Mus musculus: one gene and its partners. The protein of the gene in region 2 purifies or fractionates together with the protein of the main gene of each other region. This does not show direct contact. Links are inferred from orthologs where the notes say so. Each region holds a gene or a part of one and is shown on either strand. Other genes may lie near its edges.

Region 1 (3,516 bases), on a different chromosome or scaffold from region 2:
AAAGCCATCTACAGGTGGCTGGTTCATCATCAAACTTGGTGAACTCTAGTGTGGGACAGGCCCTAAAAAACCAAATGTAGCTACAATTACCTCTCCCACTTCATTAAGGAAAACAAAGAAGAATCTTAATATGCCTGTACCTTAGACATGTAATACATTTTGCCTTTCTTTCTCAAATAAAAAACCTAAGGTGGCCTCTAAGAGTAGGAAAGGCCTCCATGGCGCGCTAATGAGGGCCCTGGGTGTCAAGGCTGTGTGGACACTTGCTGTTTGCTGTGCTTCTGTCCTGTGTGCTCAACGGTCTTTGATGCAAAATAGAGTTGATGCTTTGTCAATTGGTTTGCTCTATTTCAATCCTTTTATCTTGTTACTAGGCTGCTCTTTGGCGTAAATTGCAATCGATTAGGGATCGTTTCTCAGACTCAAGTTAGAAGTGAGAGTTCAGATAAGTGAGGCCGACATTGCTGCCTTGAAGAAGGGGAGAATGGATTTATCAGGAGTGAAAAAGAAGAGCTTGCTAGGAGTCAAAGAGAATAATAAAAAGTCCAGCACTAGGTAATCCTCTGTAAGATTTTTTTCTAGTGCTATTTTGGGGGTGCTTGCTGTTTAAGGACCCTAGGAAAGGGGAGATTTTTGTTGTTGTTGTTCTACAGTGCGTGCCCTAATTCACAGATGATTTTGCTCTGTGATCACCTGGGATGTTAGTAATCCTTTTGGACCGCACTACTGGGTTGTGCTATCTCAGGGTTTGGTCAGAAGGGCTTGCAACCTCACATTCTATCTTATCATGCAGGGCTCCTTCTCCTACCAAACGCAAGGACCGATCTGATGAGAAGTCCAAGGATCGATCTAAAGATAAAGGGGCCACTAAAGAGTCAAGTGAGAAGGATCGTGGCAGAGATAAGACTCGGAAGAGACGCAGTGCTTCAAGCGGAAGCAGCAGTACCAGGTGGGGCAGAGGGAACCATGTCTTCCTTCACTGTGAAGCCCTCCAAGAACTTCTTTGGGGGAAAGGGGTGACACGTGTGTGTTGTGAAGGCCAAAAGTATGTTAAATTTCTTCCTTTGGGGAGGTGTGAAGGCCATCTGCTCTTCCATGTTCCCACAAACAAACAAACCTAGGTCCAGTTCAGCAAAGTTCACTCTAGGAAATCAGTGAGTTTACCAGGCTTCCAGTGCAGTGGGTGAAGGATAATTGGCAGGAATGTGGGTGGTAACTGCCCTGTGAATGTTCCCTCCCCACAGTCCCCTACTTAAAGCCTTTGCCTGAGACCTGAGGACCTGTGCAAATAGGGCAGAATTACAACTGGTTTGGAGGGGTGGCTGGATACTCCAGTGAGGGTCCCTTGACCCTGTCCCTTCCAAGAGAGACAAGCCCAGTGTGATGATCGTTAGTGAGCAAGCCCAGTTGAAGTGAGAATGACAGCAACTTTTCTGCGAGGGTAGTCCTGTATGTGTGGCTCCCTAAGAGCTGTCTGCCTAGCTTTTCCATACAGGATTTCATTGCTTCCTGCAGCTTGCCAATTGAATTGAGCTGGTTGCCCAAGGGAAGACTACGTTGTCTTAACTACATTGAAAACAGACCCTAGAGTTGTTGATAAGACCCTAATATAGCATGCAGGTTTTGTTTCATTATATATGTTATGTGGTCTTGCTGTGTAATGTGTGTTTGTGGATATAAACTCTCCTATGATACTAAAGTGTGATGTTTGGATAATGGATGAATTGTTTCTCTTGCAAGTATGTATTCATCCTGAAATGAGAATGACTGGCTTCAGGCTGGAGCCTTTTTTTTTTTTTTTAAACTGTGTTTATACATGCATACCATGTGTGTGCCTGGTTGTCACACAGGCCAGAAAGGTGCATTGGGTCCCCAGAAACTAGAGTCACAGGCAGTTGTGAGCTGCCATGTGGGTGCTAGAAACCAAACCTGGTTCCTCTTACCTGCAGAGACATTTTTCAGCTCCCAGTCTGCTCCTTTTTTTATTTAAGATGTATTTATTTTTATGTTATTTATGTATTTATTTTAATGTGCACGGTCACTGTCTTCAGACACACCAGAAGAGGTCATCAGATCCCATTGTGGATGTTTGTGGGCCACCATGTAGTTGCTGGGAATTGAACTTAGGACCTTGGAAGAACTGTTAGTGCTCTTAAACTCTGAGCCATCTCTGCAGCCCCTCTTTCTTTTTATTTTTAAGTTGAAAACCTGCCTGAATTGGTCTTCAGCCCTGTTGATCTGATTTTTGCTAGGCTGCTGCTTTTTCCTCATTGGTAAAAATAAGGATTCTGTGTAGGTAACAACAGCCCATCTCATACGGTGTTGGGACTTGTCAGATGTCATTACTGGTGAAATGGGGCTTAAGCAGGAAAGCACCGGGCAGTGGTGGCGTATGCCTTTAGTCTTAGTGCTTAGGAGGCAGAGGCGGGCAGATTTCTGAGTAAGAACCAGGAGAGCGATATCCTCTACTGAGCAGTCAGTCTTCTGTGCAGAAATAGGACTCTTGCTCATTGACTCTGTGACACCCCCACCTTGTCCTCAGGTCTAGGTCCAGCTCCACCTCCAGCTCGGGCTCCAGCACCAGCACAGGCTCAAGCAGTGGCTCCAGCTCGTCCTCTGCATCCAGCCGCTCAGGAAGCTCCAGCACGTCCCGGAGCTCCAGTTCTAGCAGCTCCTCCGGCTCCCCAAGCCCTTCTCGGCGCAGGCATGACAACAGGCGGCGCTCCCGCTCCAAGTGAGTTCAGAATGGCTAGCCTGCTCATTACAGTAGTTACTAGAAAAGTAGTTTGGGCTGACAAGATGGCTCAGCAGGTAAAGGTCTTTGCTGCCAAGCTTAACAGCCTGGGTTTAATTCCCGGGACCCACATGGTGGCATGTGATAACTCCCGTGGTTTGTCCTTTAACCTCCAATGTGCACAGTGACACACAAGTGAGGGGAAGTGCAGTGGTACATGCACATGTATTTGTACCAGGATAGTCGGAAATTTGAGGTCATGGTGGGCTGCGTGTGAGCCTGTCTCAAAAAGACACGAGAGCCAGGCGTGGTGGCGCACGCCTTTAATCCCAGCACTCGGGAGGCAGAGGCAGGCAGATTTCTGAGTTCAAGGCCAACCTGATCTACAGAGTGAGTTCCAGGACAGCCAGGGCTATACAGAGAAACCCTGTCCCGAAAAACAAAACAAACAAACAAAAAGACATGAAAGAAAGTGAATAAAAGTTAGAGGGTGGGCAGGATGTCTGAGTCAGTGAGGGTGCTCGCTGCCCAGCCCATCAACCAGACTGCCCTTCCCCGGAATACACAAGGCAGGAGCTGAGAAGGGCATCTCCCACAAGTTAGTCTCTAACTCTATGTGTGTTGCCCTGGTGCATGCCCCACAGAAGTAAAATAGACACAGATTTGAAGGGGTCTTAGTTTGGTTTCTGAATCAGGGATGATAGTCTTAGTGATCTGTTTCTGTGAAAAGACACCATGACCAAGGCAATTCTTATAAAGGATTGGGGCAGGCTTACAGTTTC
Region 2 (4,223 bases):
GGCAGCTATAATACCTACTACAAACTTGCTGTTCAAATAACAAACACTTCTTTTCACTCTTAAGCTAACCTTCCAGGCCTTTAAGCCTGACATGCCATCGATTCCTTCCTTCCTTCACTTGTTTATTCAAGGTAGGATCCCATTCTATAGCCTGAAACTGTCAACAATTCTCCTGTCTCAGTCTGACTCACAAGCACGGCCTCCTAGTGTCCGCCACACCTCAGCCGTTGTACTCTTCACTGAATGCCCTTCTCCTGACATCTCCATGACTGCCCCTCTAGCCACTTAAGTCTCAGCATAAATCTGCAGCCTCCCTGCAGGAAGCTCTCTCCAACTTCACTGTCCAGATGTCCCCTTATGGCCCTCTTCTTACCCTGTCTCCTGCTGACATCACAAGTCCACTTACCGACCACCACTAACAGCTACAAGCCTGTCAGTTGGACATGCTGGCCCCACCCGAGAATCCCAACCCTCAGGAGCCTGAGGCAGGAGCACCAGGTACCTGAAGTCAATCACAGTGGGACCTGGGAAGTCAGGCTTACAGGCAAGCATGCGTACCAGCTGAGTCATTTCCCAGTCCTCCCACGACACTTTTCTCCAGTTGGTCATAAGAACCAGTATTTACCCTTCCTTAACTTCTGAATTACTTCCACAAAGCAATGCACCAAGGGGCCAGTGCAAGGGCAGTAGAGCATCCATCCACTTCACAAGCCTTCACGACCTGAATATGATCTCAGGAACTCAACAGCTGAAAGACAAAGGCTTCTCTAGAGGGGTCCTGACCACCCTCATGCATCCATTTATAGATGCACACAAAATAAATACATAAAAATAGTCATTTGTGTTTACTTTTTTAAAAATGTGTGCCGGGATTCAGTCTTTGCAGAAACTTTCTAACTATGGGCCTTACTTCCAGACAAGAACTGAATTATTTGGTAGGGATTTCTATTTAAAAAGAATCTTAAAAAAAAAAAATTTTATGTGTGGATTTTTTTTTTTTTTTTTTTGCCTGCAGAAGCCAGAGGAGGATGTCGTATCCCCTGGAACTGGAGACACACACAGTTACGAACCTCCCTGGAGGCAAGGAATCAAAACCAGATCCTCTGTTAGATCAGGCAGCATTCTTTAACCACAGAGCTCTCTCCAGGCCATGCTGATTTTCTTAGTTGCTGAGATTTGAACCCAGATCCTTACTCCTGCTAGGCAAGACTAACACTAGCTACATTCCTCAAACCTTTTGGACACTGGGTCTTGCTATGTCGCCTCAGCTGGTCTGGAACTCAAGCTCCTCCTGCCTCAGTCTCCTGAGTACTGGGATTACAGCCCTGTACCTCCACACCCTAAAAGAAACCGTTTGTCTTTGGTTTCTTTTTTATCTGCTTTGGCCATGTTGTCCCAAATGGTTTCAAACTTTCACTCTTCCTGAAGAACAGAATTACAGCCTCTGCCAACCAGCCCAGTCTAAGAATCTGCTTAAGCAGAACCCCACATTTCTGTCTCATTTTTCTTGCTATTTGATCCCAGGCAAGTTATGCCACCCAAATTCCAACTACTTAATCTGAGAGGCTTGTGAGAATTAAAGACAGTCAAGACTTAGAACGCGGCACAATCACCCACATCACAAAGCCATCCATTGCCCATCCCTCCTGTGTGTCATCTGCATTGTAGTCAATCACTGAGGCCACCACCCAGAGGTCAGTGGACAGAGACAGTCTCATGAAAGCAGACTGATGGCAAGAACGATCCTGGAAGGCTTCAAAGGAAGAAGGGACCTATGAGCTAAAACCTGGAAGATCACTAACAATGCGCAGATTAAAGGGCAGAGTGTAAAACCTAGGGTGAAACCAAGGAACCAGTAGGTACAAAGGCCAAAGTTAACTCCTAACAGACAGAATGGGGAAGGCTGAAAAAGAAATGTGGATGCTAGAGGTGAAAAGGGGTCAACTCTTGTGATATCACCTTGAGTCAGGCTACCCCAAGAACTCACCATCCTTCTTGATCTTCTCATTGAGATTGTTGATATAAATAGTGTGGTTGGCACGGGTCTCGGGAACTGGCATGGTGGCTATGGTGGCCATGGTGTGAGATGTTCAGGTACGGCTTAAAGAGGAGGAAAAAGCGACTTTAGCCCTAAGTTTCCCAAATTCTTTGTTCCAAAGGGCTGATGCTCAGGGATCGCCCTTCCAAGAGGAAGTCGAGTAAGACCGGAATTGGAAGAGGATGTCACAGCTTAGCAACAAAGCCAGCACAGGCCCCCGCTTCTCCAACCCGCGTGCTAAGGGAGAGCTAGAGAGGTTAACTACGAATCCCAGAATGCTCTACGAGTCCCGGCAGGCGGAGCACACCGAGCGGCGCTTCCCATTAGTCCACGTGCGCGAAAGGCGTCCCGGGAGGAAAAAAGACCCCGGATGTCGGAGCCAGTTAAGAAAGTAGGGGCCGACTTGGAACATCCTAGTCTCTCAAAGAGAGGCCTCCCGAAGTGCTCCACCCGCCTCCCCGGCGCCGAGCAGCGTCTACAACCCGCGGGAACCCACCACCTGAGCCGTCGCTCCCGCCGACAACGCCCGCCGAGCTACGCTGCACAGACACACAACTATCTTCCCCGGCAACGGCTTCTCCCTTCCGCGAGCTAATCACGGCGGGCAAACTCGGTAAGTTCAGAGTCTCTCCCCCGGCCTCAGCGTCTGCCAAAGGAACACTTGGGGTCCCGCCCCCTGGACGCGAGGGAACGGACCAATCAAAGAAGGGCACGAGCTTCTGGCCAATTGGGACATGGTTAGAGCTCTGGTGCATTCTAAGACTGCCTTTCGGAAGCCACACCTCTTCCCCTTCCGCCAGTATCACGTGACCTTCAAGAGCGTTGTGCTGGTTGCGAGTTCTATCACGTGGGATGGGAAAGGACAGGTGGAGGCTGGCCGGGTGACGTCATTTCCTCCTGGGGAGGCGCTTGTGCAGATTCCTAAGTTCCTAAATTGATAGGTTTATACCAACTTAGTTGGCCTTTGATCGCTGAGTTGCTGCGACTCTCATACTTCCCCGCTAAGCCCATGACCCGCCCACCATTAGGCTGTTTTCTCACCCACGTGCCTTTTTTGTAACCTCTTAACCCTAGCTCGTAAAGTCAAGGTTTCAAACTCAGGCCCGCAATGCAAAAAGTAGGCAAGTCACATCCTTTAGACACCTCACAACAGATCTGAACCTCCGAATAACAGAAGTGACCAAAACTAGCTTAGCTACAGCAGATGAGATGACACCTACAAAATGTCCCTTCTAATGTAGCCCCAGCCCCATAGCACAGACCACCCTTCGGGATCCTTCAGCATTTGATTTAGCCCAGTTTCTCTTTCCACTGTTTCAAATACTAGCCCAGGTTCTCCCAGAACAACTGGCCAGACACCATATTCTGCTATCAACTCCAGTTTTAATTTTTTTTTTTTTTTTTTTTACAGATCTCAATGTGCAGGCCTGAATATCTCTCATCCAGTTCCTTTAAAAACTGAAAATCTCCATCCTTGGGAGATTTGGGGAGAGCCTCTTATTCTTCCTGTAGACCCCAAATGACTTCTCCATGCTCTTTCCCCCTAAAACCCACAATCTCTCCAATAATTCATGAGACCCCAGACACCAACATTCCACCTCCTTTACCTCTAAATCCCCCGGACCTAGCTTTACCATCCCCTCCTTGTAGTCTCCATACATCTATTTCATCCCCACTGCCGCCCCCTCCCCCCCCTCCTGCTCCTCCCCCTCCCCCTCCCCCTCCCCCTCTACCCTCTGCTGTGGAGCCTGTTCTCCCTCATGTCTATGGCCTGAAGAACAGCCAGCTCCTGAAGGAGGCCTTAGAGAAGGCTGGCCCAGCCCCCAAAGGCAAAGAGGATGTGAAGAGGCTCCTGAAGCTGCACAAGGACCGGTAGGGTCTCCAGCCCCCAAAACCAGCCCAGATCTCAGACAATCACCTGATTACAAGTCACCACAGCCACCCTGCTCTTTGCGGTCCCACTTCCTTGATCTCAAACAGCCAGATGCCTTAAGTACCCTACTTAGTTAGCTTCCAGCAATAGAGAGAACAGCTTCTGCTCGGGCCTGGCTTTGACACAGAAGCCAGTGGTTCTGTGCCTCCAGACAGTGACTCCAGAGTAGCCAGAGTTGTGATAATGGAGCCCAAGGACAGATCTCAGTGTTGGCTTCTAGAATCGAAGCAGCTACAAATGCTAGTGAGCACG
Region 3 (3,516 bases), on a different chromosome or scaffold from region 2:
AGTGCTCTTAATTCCTGGACTCTCTCAACTCTCTGCAGGCCCTCTTATTGCCTTGAGATAGGACGTTGCTTTGTGGCCTCCACTGCTCTGCAACTTGTGGTCCTTTTGCCTCAGCCTTCTAGTGCTAGGATTATAAGTGCCAACCACCAGGCCTGACTCTTGGGGTGATGAACACAGGGGTAATGTAGTCCCTGGGCCACTGAGCAGCCCCTCATTTTGTGCCAGCCTTACTTATTTCATTTGTGAGGAACAAGATGCCAATACAAGAGGAGCCTGGTTGCTGGAACTCTTGCAGACCTAGATTCCAAAGTTTTCTCCAGAGTCAGCCTTTATGACTTAGGACACTCATTAGTCCTGTCTATCTGGATTCTGTAAGAAGTAGAATACAATGGACATATTTGCTTTGTGACATCAGGGACTTTTTCATTACTGGGCTCTGCATTTGCTGAGGGTAGCCAGTAAATAACCACAGCAGTGTAGTTATTGCCTTTCAGAGAGGTGATGACATTAATACCCGTGATGTGCTGGTGAATAGCAAAGGTGGGGGTGGGAAGGAGCTATCCCACTCTGTGTTTGTCCAGAGTATAGTGTGGGTAGGAGCCTGAATGCCGTACAGGGCATTCAGGGTCACTCAGAGTTGGCTTGGGTCTCTGAATAGTTCAGGTTGGTTTCAGTGTAGAATAGGAGGTGGTGTCCTCTTCTCTAGGGTTGGCCGAATTCTCCGGCTCTCCCCCAGTCCTCACAGTGGCCTACCCTCTCCCAGGATGCAGTCATGCTGCACAGCTTCACTCTTCGCCAGCAACTGCAGACAACCCGCCAGGAGCTGTCCCATGCTCTGTACCAACACGATGCTGCCTGCCGAGTCATTGCCCGGCTCACCAAAGAGGTCACTGCTGCTCGAGAAGGTCTCTTGTATTCCCTGCTGCTCCCCATCTTCTGGCCCTGCTTTGTAATGTCCCTTTTCTAACATCATCTTTTCTCTCAGCTCTGGCTACTCTGAAACCACAGGCTGGGCTTATTGTACCTCAGGCTGTGCCAAGCTCACAGCCCAGTGTTGTGGTAAGTGTTCCCTTCCGGGCCCCAGTAGCTGTCCCTTCACAGAAGTTTTTGGTGTTGTGAGCCCCTCCCACTCTCCCTTTCTTTTCTGCAGGGTGCAGGAGAGCCCATGGATTTGGGTGAGCTGGTGGGAATGACCCCTGAGATTATCCAGAAGGTGAGTCATGTGCACCTCTGATGGGACTGCAGTCCCCCCATTAGTACCACAGGCATTGGGGGCCCTTAAGAATCTCTCACGATGGGCAATGTGGGAGCCTGCACTGCCAATCGAGAGCTTTCTGATGAAGCTTACTTTAGTCTGGCTTTCTATGTCTCATTTCCCTGGCTTCTGAGTAGAATGAGGTGTGTGTACTTCACAGGCTTGTTGTGGGAAAGATTTCATTACTGATTAGGGCAGTTTTTAGCTCTTGCGGTGATTACGATCTTTGTTGATATTAAGCCATTTTGTTACAGATTTTGAAGGTTTTGCCTTAGAATAAGAGTTATCTTCAGATGAGGAGTCAGAAGTGGCAAGTCAAGACAGCTGAGAAGAGGCAGAGCAGGCTTCCAGACTGTAACTCAGGGTTCTGTTGAATGTAGTCTTCATTTGTGAGTCCAGCGGAATATGAGCAGCTCATCTGAGCGCTCAGGCTTATAGCCTCGACCAGCACCACAGCTTAGTTCCCGTCCCTACCCATTCTGGCAAGGGAGTTCTTTTAACTTTCATTTTTCTCAGCTGTACCATAAGGTCATAGATATATGACCTTATAAGATCAGGATGGAAATGTGTCAGCTGTTATCCCATAGCTTGGCAGATAGCATTTTTTGATGATGCTTATAATACCAGATGTGACTAGCACCCAGTATGCTTTGTTCTTACAAAATTATTTTTCTCACAAAATTATTTATGTTCTCCACAGCTTCAAGACAAGGCTACTGTGCTAACCACGGAGCGTAAGAAGGTGAGTTGTTGCCTGCTGTGAACACTTGCGTTTTTGGAGAAAGGTCTAGTTGAAGCCCGCTTTCATTGCTGTTCTTTGGGGTTTTTTGTTTTGTTTTGTTTTCTTAGAGAGGAAAGACTGTCCCCGAGGAGCTGGTGAAACCTGAAGAGCTCAGCAAGTACCGGCAGGTGGCATCCCATGTGGTAAGTGGCTGGAGGGGCCCTACTGTTTCTAGGACAAGATGGACGGAGGAGTCATGGGAAATGCTTCTCAGGTCTCTGGCACGTTGTCTCGACTTGGCTGCTCTTCTGTCCTGCCATGCAGTGGGGGAATTGGTGCATCCAGGCAGCCAGCCAAGCTGGATGGATAAGGGATAGGATTCACTCTCGTTTCCTGGCTGGAGAGGAATATGGGGGGTGTGGGCAAGGGGAGTGGAGGAGCTGTGAGGCTTGGATTGGGCTGTGATTGGGTTTCATGTGGCTCTTTCTGCAAAGGGTCTACACAGTGCTAGCATTCCTGGGATTCTCGCTCTGGACCTGTGTCCCTCAGACACCAACAAGATTCTCACTGGTGAGTCTAGGCCTGACCTGACAGTCAAAATGAGGGATGGCAGGACCCAGGGAAGGGACAGGCCCTTGATTCTCTGCATGGATTTAAGGACAGAAAGACCTTCTGTAGTCCAGGGTACTTAAAAGCCTGGCTCATTTTTGTCTTCTTTGGATCTTCTCCAGGTGGGGCAGATAAAAATGTTGTTGTCTTTGATAAGAGTACTGAGCAAATATTGGCCACTCTCAAAGGCCATACCAAGAAGGTCACCAGTGTGGTGTTTCATCCTTCTCAGGTAAGGCACTCTCGAAGTCACCCTTGTCTTTTTCTAAGTCCAGTTCCAGTGGTTTTGAGTCTCGGAACTAATTGCCCAACCCCTAGTGTTTTGGTGAAACAGGCATTGATGGTCTCCATGATCACCCCCATAACAGTGGTTCTCAAACCAGGGAGAAAGTAAATGGCACCAACAAGCACCCTCGAGTGTTTATAGGTACAGTACAGATGGCCCAGCTCCATGTAGTCTGACTGCCAGGTGCCTACTCCCGTGACCTTACGGGGTTAGCCTAAAAACTTAATGTTGACTATTGAAAGTTGTGGGAGTTCAAATAGATGAGAACCCTTGGCTTAGAGGATAAAGGTAGCTTAGTAGATGAGATTAATGGCTTCATAAGATTTGAGCCAAGAATACTGTGGCTTGGTATGCTGCTGCCTCTGGTGCTGGAGCAGTGCCTCCCAGTTAGTCTATCTCTTTAGGAGTTAGGAAACTCATAAATAGAGGAGTATATATGTTTTGGTCAGTGTTCTGTTGCTGCAAAGAGACACCATGACCATGGCAACTTTTATAAGAGAAACCATTTAATTGGGTGAGTCCATTATCATGGCAGGGAGTATGGTGGCAAGCATGGCACTGGAACAGTAGCTGAGAGCTGTATCCTTATCTGAAAGGAGACAGATAGACAGATAGATACATGTGTGCACACAGACAAACATAGGT
Region 4 (2,860 bases), on a different chromosome or scaffold from region 2:
AGGGACACTCCTGGAATTGGTGGTGCAAAGAGGTACAATGGCAAGGTTTCAATTGCAGTATCTCTTGCTACTTCTTCCTGCCGCCTCTCTCCTTGAGGGCCAAGTGGATGACAGCACCACTGGCCATGTTGTAGTAAGCCAGGGAGTTGGAATCCTTGATGAAGATGCCCTGGAAGACAGACAAATGTCTTAATGGACACCACCTGTCTTTGACCACATGCAGCCTCACACAACTGAGCTTACTGCTATTCTAGACTTCACTACTATGGAAGCTTAAGGGAAGGTCAGCGAAGTATGGAACTTTGGCTTCTTCTAGAACATCTCTTTTTCCTTCCTTCTTTCTAACAGATGCAAAGTAAGGAACTTTGTCAACATTTGGTTTAGTTTTCAACTTCCCAAACATTAGCCATGACCAAACTAAAAGGCACAGCTGACTTCTCAGGTCAAAAGACCTTTAGTGATTATCTTTTTCAACACCCTATTTCACACAGGAAGAGAGGAAGCCCCAGAAAACCTGAATACCCCTTTGCACCTCCATAAACAACCAGGCTGCCTAAGATCCCATCACTGGTCTGCTCCCCATCCAGAGACCAAGGCTTTTAGACCCGAATTATACTATGCTGTCAGAACCCAGCACTATTAGGTCCACCTGCCCCCGCATTCCAGCTGGATCACTTCTAGGATGGCCTCATCCAGGTCTCTCTCCATCATACTTTCTACAGATTGTTTCAGGGATGGTAGAGGAATTGGAACCTAAGGGGCAGGACCCTTGCTTACTTCATACTGTAGTTTCTGTTTCCCCGCAGGCATGCCCGTGGCTTCATGAATCTTCACTTTGATGACAGAGACCTGTGGGATCACAGAAAGTTCATTCATTCTCTTGTTAAGACCATCTGGAAAAAGCTGACCCAACCCACTGACTCCAAAGCACCTGTACCAACTGGGGGTGGCAAAACATACCTGGTCTGTGAGTGGGAGAGTGAAGACCAGCCCCTGACCATTCAGCTTCCATTCCGTCTTATCCTGCATGTTGGGTACCTGCACTTTGATGGATACTGGACCCTGCAAAATGCAGTGCTCATTATGTCTGGAAAGCCCCAAGCCAATTAGGAACTATGCTGTGCTATCAGTTGCTCATCCAAACAACGACTCCTGCCCCTCTCACCCCTTTACTGCTGATACCAGGTGTGACACTACACAGGCTTCATTTCTTCTTTATTTTTCTAGACAGGCTTAAAGGTAGGGGTCAGGGCTAGCCTAGGCTGACCTCAAACTTCCTGCCTCTAGAGTTCTGAGATTGTAAGTGTATATTATCATACTGTTTCATTCCCATTCCTTAAATATTCCTTAAAATTCCACTGAATTCTGCAAACTCAAGGACCAGCAGGGTAAAGATATGGTCTGTGAAGTACTGGTTTCAAACTCAGCAGACAAGACACCTAAGCTTGCCTGTGTCAAAACAGACTGGTGGGAACACTAAAGAGAATAGTCTGAACCTTTGGTAGGTGTTCAAAGAATAGACACACATTAGCTAGTTTGTCAAATTTATGGGCCAAATCTCTTGGGACTGTCACTGCCTTCTCACCAAAGCCTAACAGCTTTGTCAGAGACCACCAGTACCAATATAGAGTCCTTATTCCAGAATGCCAGCAGAATCCTACTCCAATGAGCACCTTCCCAGAGCAGGGAGAGAGAGATCTGAATTTAATAACTGTGCTGAGCGAGACTTCCTAGAGCTGGTTTAGTGATCTGTCACCTCACTCCTGTGATAATGTCTTAGCAGCCGCATCTCCACAGGAGTCCACACTACCACAAGCTCCCAGCTACTGACCTCACATTACAAACATCCCCAGAAGCTTCGTATGGCTGACTGACATCCCAGGAACTAAAGGCATGGGATAGTACATAACTGGGGCTTGGGTAACCCATGCTGCTGCCGGATACTGCAGGGCACAAGCAGTTTCCTGGGTCACAGACCTTGTTCCTGCGCAGGAATTCTTCCTCAGGCATGAGACTGTCCTCGGTCTTTAGTTTCTTGGATGGAGGCTCATCCTCCATAGGAGGTGGGGGGTGTACAGGAGGCATTGGAGCTGGGGCTGGGACTGGAGCCACAGGTGGGGCAGGCACAAAGGCTGCAAGGACAAGGAACAGTTGCCTAGTGAGTACAGAAGAGGTGAAGAGGCCCAAGAGGCAGGACTAGGGAGATTTTGCCGGGTGATTTCGAGGCTTTGCTCTGTAAGAGGTGTGAAGTGCCATGCCTTGATGAGTCTGTCACTCAGCACATTCCCTGGCAGGGAGCCTTGGGAGGCTGCCCGAATTAGGCAGCAGGAAAGGGGAGGCAGTGCAAGGTCAGCCAAAAAATAGTTATTGTCAGGCTTCTGGACCTGTCAAGGACCCGACCACCAAATGTAGACACACTAGCTATGCCATCTCAGTCTCTTGTCTCTCACAAGAAATATGGCTCCCAGGTCCCAGTTGAGACTTCCTCTGGGATGGATACTCAGTGGGAACAGCCATCATTAAGGCTAACCACAGCTTTATGGACTAACCCATGAGATGAGAAAGCAACACTACACACCGACCTGTTGGCACAATCATGGGAGGTGGGCGGGGCGCCATGATGGGAGGTGCTGCAGGAGGCATAGGTACCACATTGATCCTGGGTGCGTGGATGATGGGTGGCATGGGGGCAATCACTGAGCCTGGGGGCAGCCGGACCACAGATGCCATGGGTGGCCGAGGCATGACAGGTACTGCAGATACAACAGTGGTGCGGACTGGAGGTGGCATCTGAGGGTAGGAGGAGACACATAAGCCACAGGAAGCCAAGGCTCAGCTTCAAGAACACACCAACTGGTCA

The links. Proteins that work in one complex are often made in the same cells at the same time.
Region 1: the proteins of Snrpa (region 2) and Rnps1 purify together in Homo sapiens (co-immunoprecipitation; 4 studies listed by BioGRID and IntAct, with this or other methods). This does not show direct contact. The link is inferred for Mus musculus from reciprocal best matches to the Homo sapiens genes SNRPA and RNPS1.
Region 3: the proteins of Snrpa (region 2) and Prpf19 fractionate together in Homo sapiens (co-fractionation; 3 studies listed by BioGRID and IntAct, with this or other methods). This does not show direct contact. The link is inferred for Mus musculus from reciprocal best matches to the Homo sapiens genes SNRPA and PRPF19.
Region 4: the proteins of Snrpa (region 2) and Sf3a1 fractionate together in Homo sapiens (co-fractionation; 3 studies listed by BioGRID and IntAct, with this or other methods). This does not show direct contact. The link is inferred for Mus musculus from reciprocal best matches to the Homo sapiens genes SNRPA and SF3A1.

What each region holds. Positions count from the first base shown.
Region 1 is NC_000083.6:24,417,664-24,421,179, forward strand, and holds part of Rnps1 (RNA-binding protein with serine-rich domain 1), read left to right. Parts: intron 1-374; 5' UTR 375-484; coding exon 485-555; intron 556-793; coding exon 794-949; intron 950-2,542; coding exon 2,543-2,734; intron 2,735-3,516. UniProt on the Homo sapiens protein: Part of pre- and post-splicing multiprotein mRNP complexes. Auxiliary component of the splicing-dependent multiprotein exon junction complex (EJC) deposited at splice junction on mRNAs.
Region 2 is NC_000073.6:27,193,457-27,197,679, forward strand, and holds the start of Snrpa (U1 small nuclear ribonucleoprotein A), read right to left. Parts: upstream 2,816-4,223; 5' UTR 2,535-2,815; exon of another isoform or gene 2,325-2,534; intron 2,305-2,324; exon of another isoform or gene 2,101-2,304; 5' UTR 2,079-2,100; coding exon 1,988-2,078; intron 1-1,987. Other genes in the region: BC024978 (UPF0692 protein C19orf54 homolog), read left to right, coding at 3,558-3,910. UniProt on the Homo sapiens protein: Component of the spliceosomal U1 snRNP, which is essential for recognition of the pre-mRNA 5' splice-site and the subsequent assembly of the spliceosome. U1 snRNP is the first snRNP to interact with pre-mRNA.
Region 3 is NC_000085.6:10,898,220-10,901,735, forward strand, and holds part of Prpf19 (pre-mRNA-processing factor 19), read left to right. Parts: intron 1-425; exon of another isoform or gene 426-540; intron 541-706; coding exon of another isoform or gene 707-763; coding exon 764-905; intron 906-985; coding exon 986-1,059; intron 1,060-1,150; coding exon 1,151-1,213; intron 1,214-1,955; coding exon 1,956-1,997; intron 1,998-2,104; coding exon 2,105-2,179; intron 2,180-2,470; coding exon 2,471-2,546; intron 2,547-2,707; coding exon 2,708-2,817; intron 2,818-3,516. UniProt on the Homo sapiens protein: Ubiquitin-protein ligase which is a core component of several complexes mainly involved pre-mRNA splicing and DNA repair. Required for pre-mRNA splicing as component of the spliceosome.
Region 4 is NC_000077.6:4,177,343-4,180,202, reverse strand, and holds part of Sf3a1 (splicing factor 3A subunit 1), read right to left. Parts: intron 2,791-2,860; coding exon 2,583-2,790; intron 2,133-2,582; coding exon 1,978-2,132; intron 1,063-1,977; coding exon 961-1,062; intron 850-960; coding exon 778-849; intron 170-777; coding exon 68-169; 3' UTR 1-67. UniProt on the Homo sapiens protein: Component of the 17S U2 SnRNP complex of the spliceosome, a large ribonucleoprotein complex that removes introns from transcribed pre-mRNAs.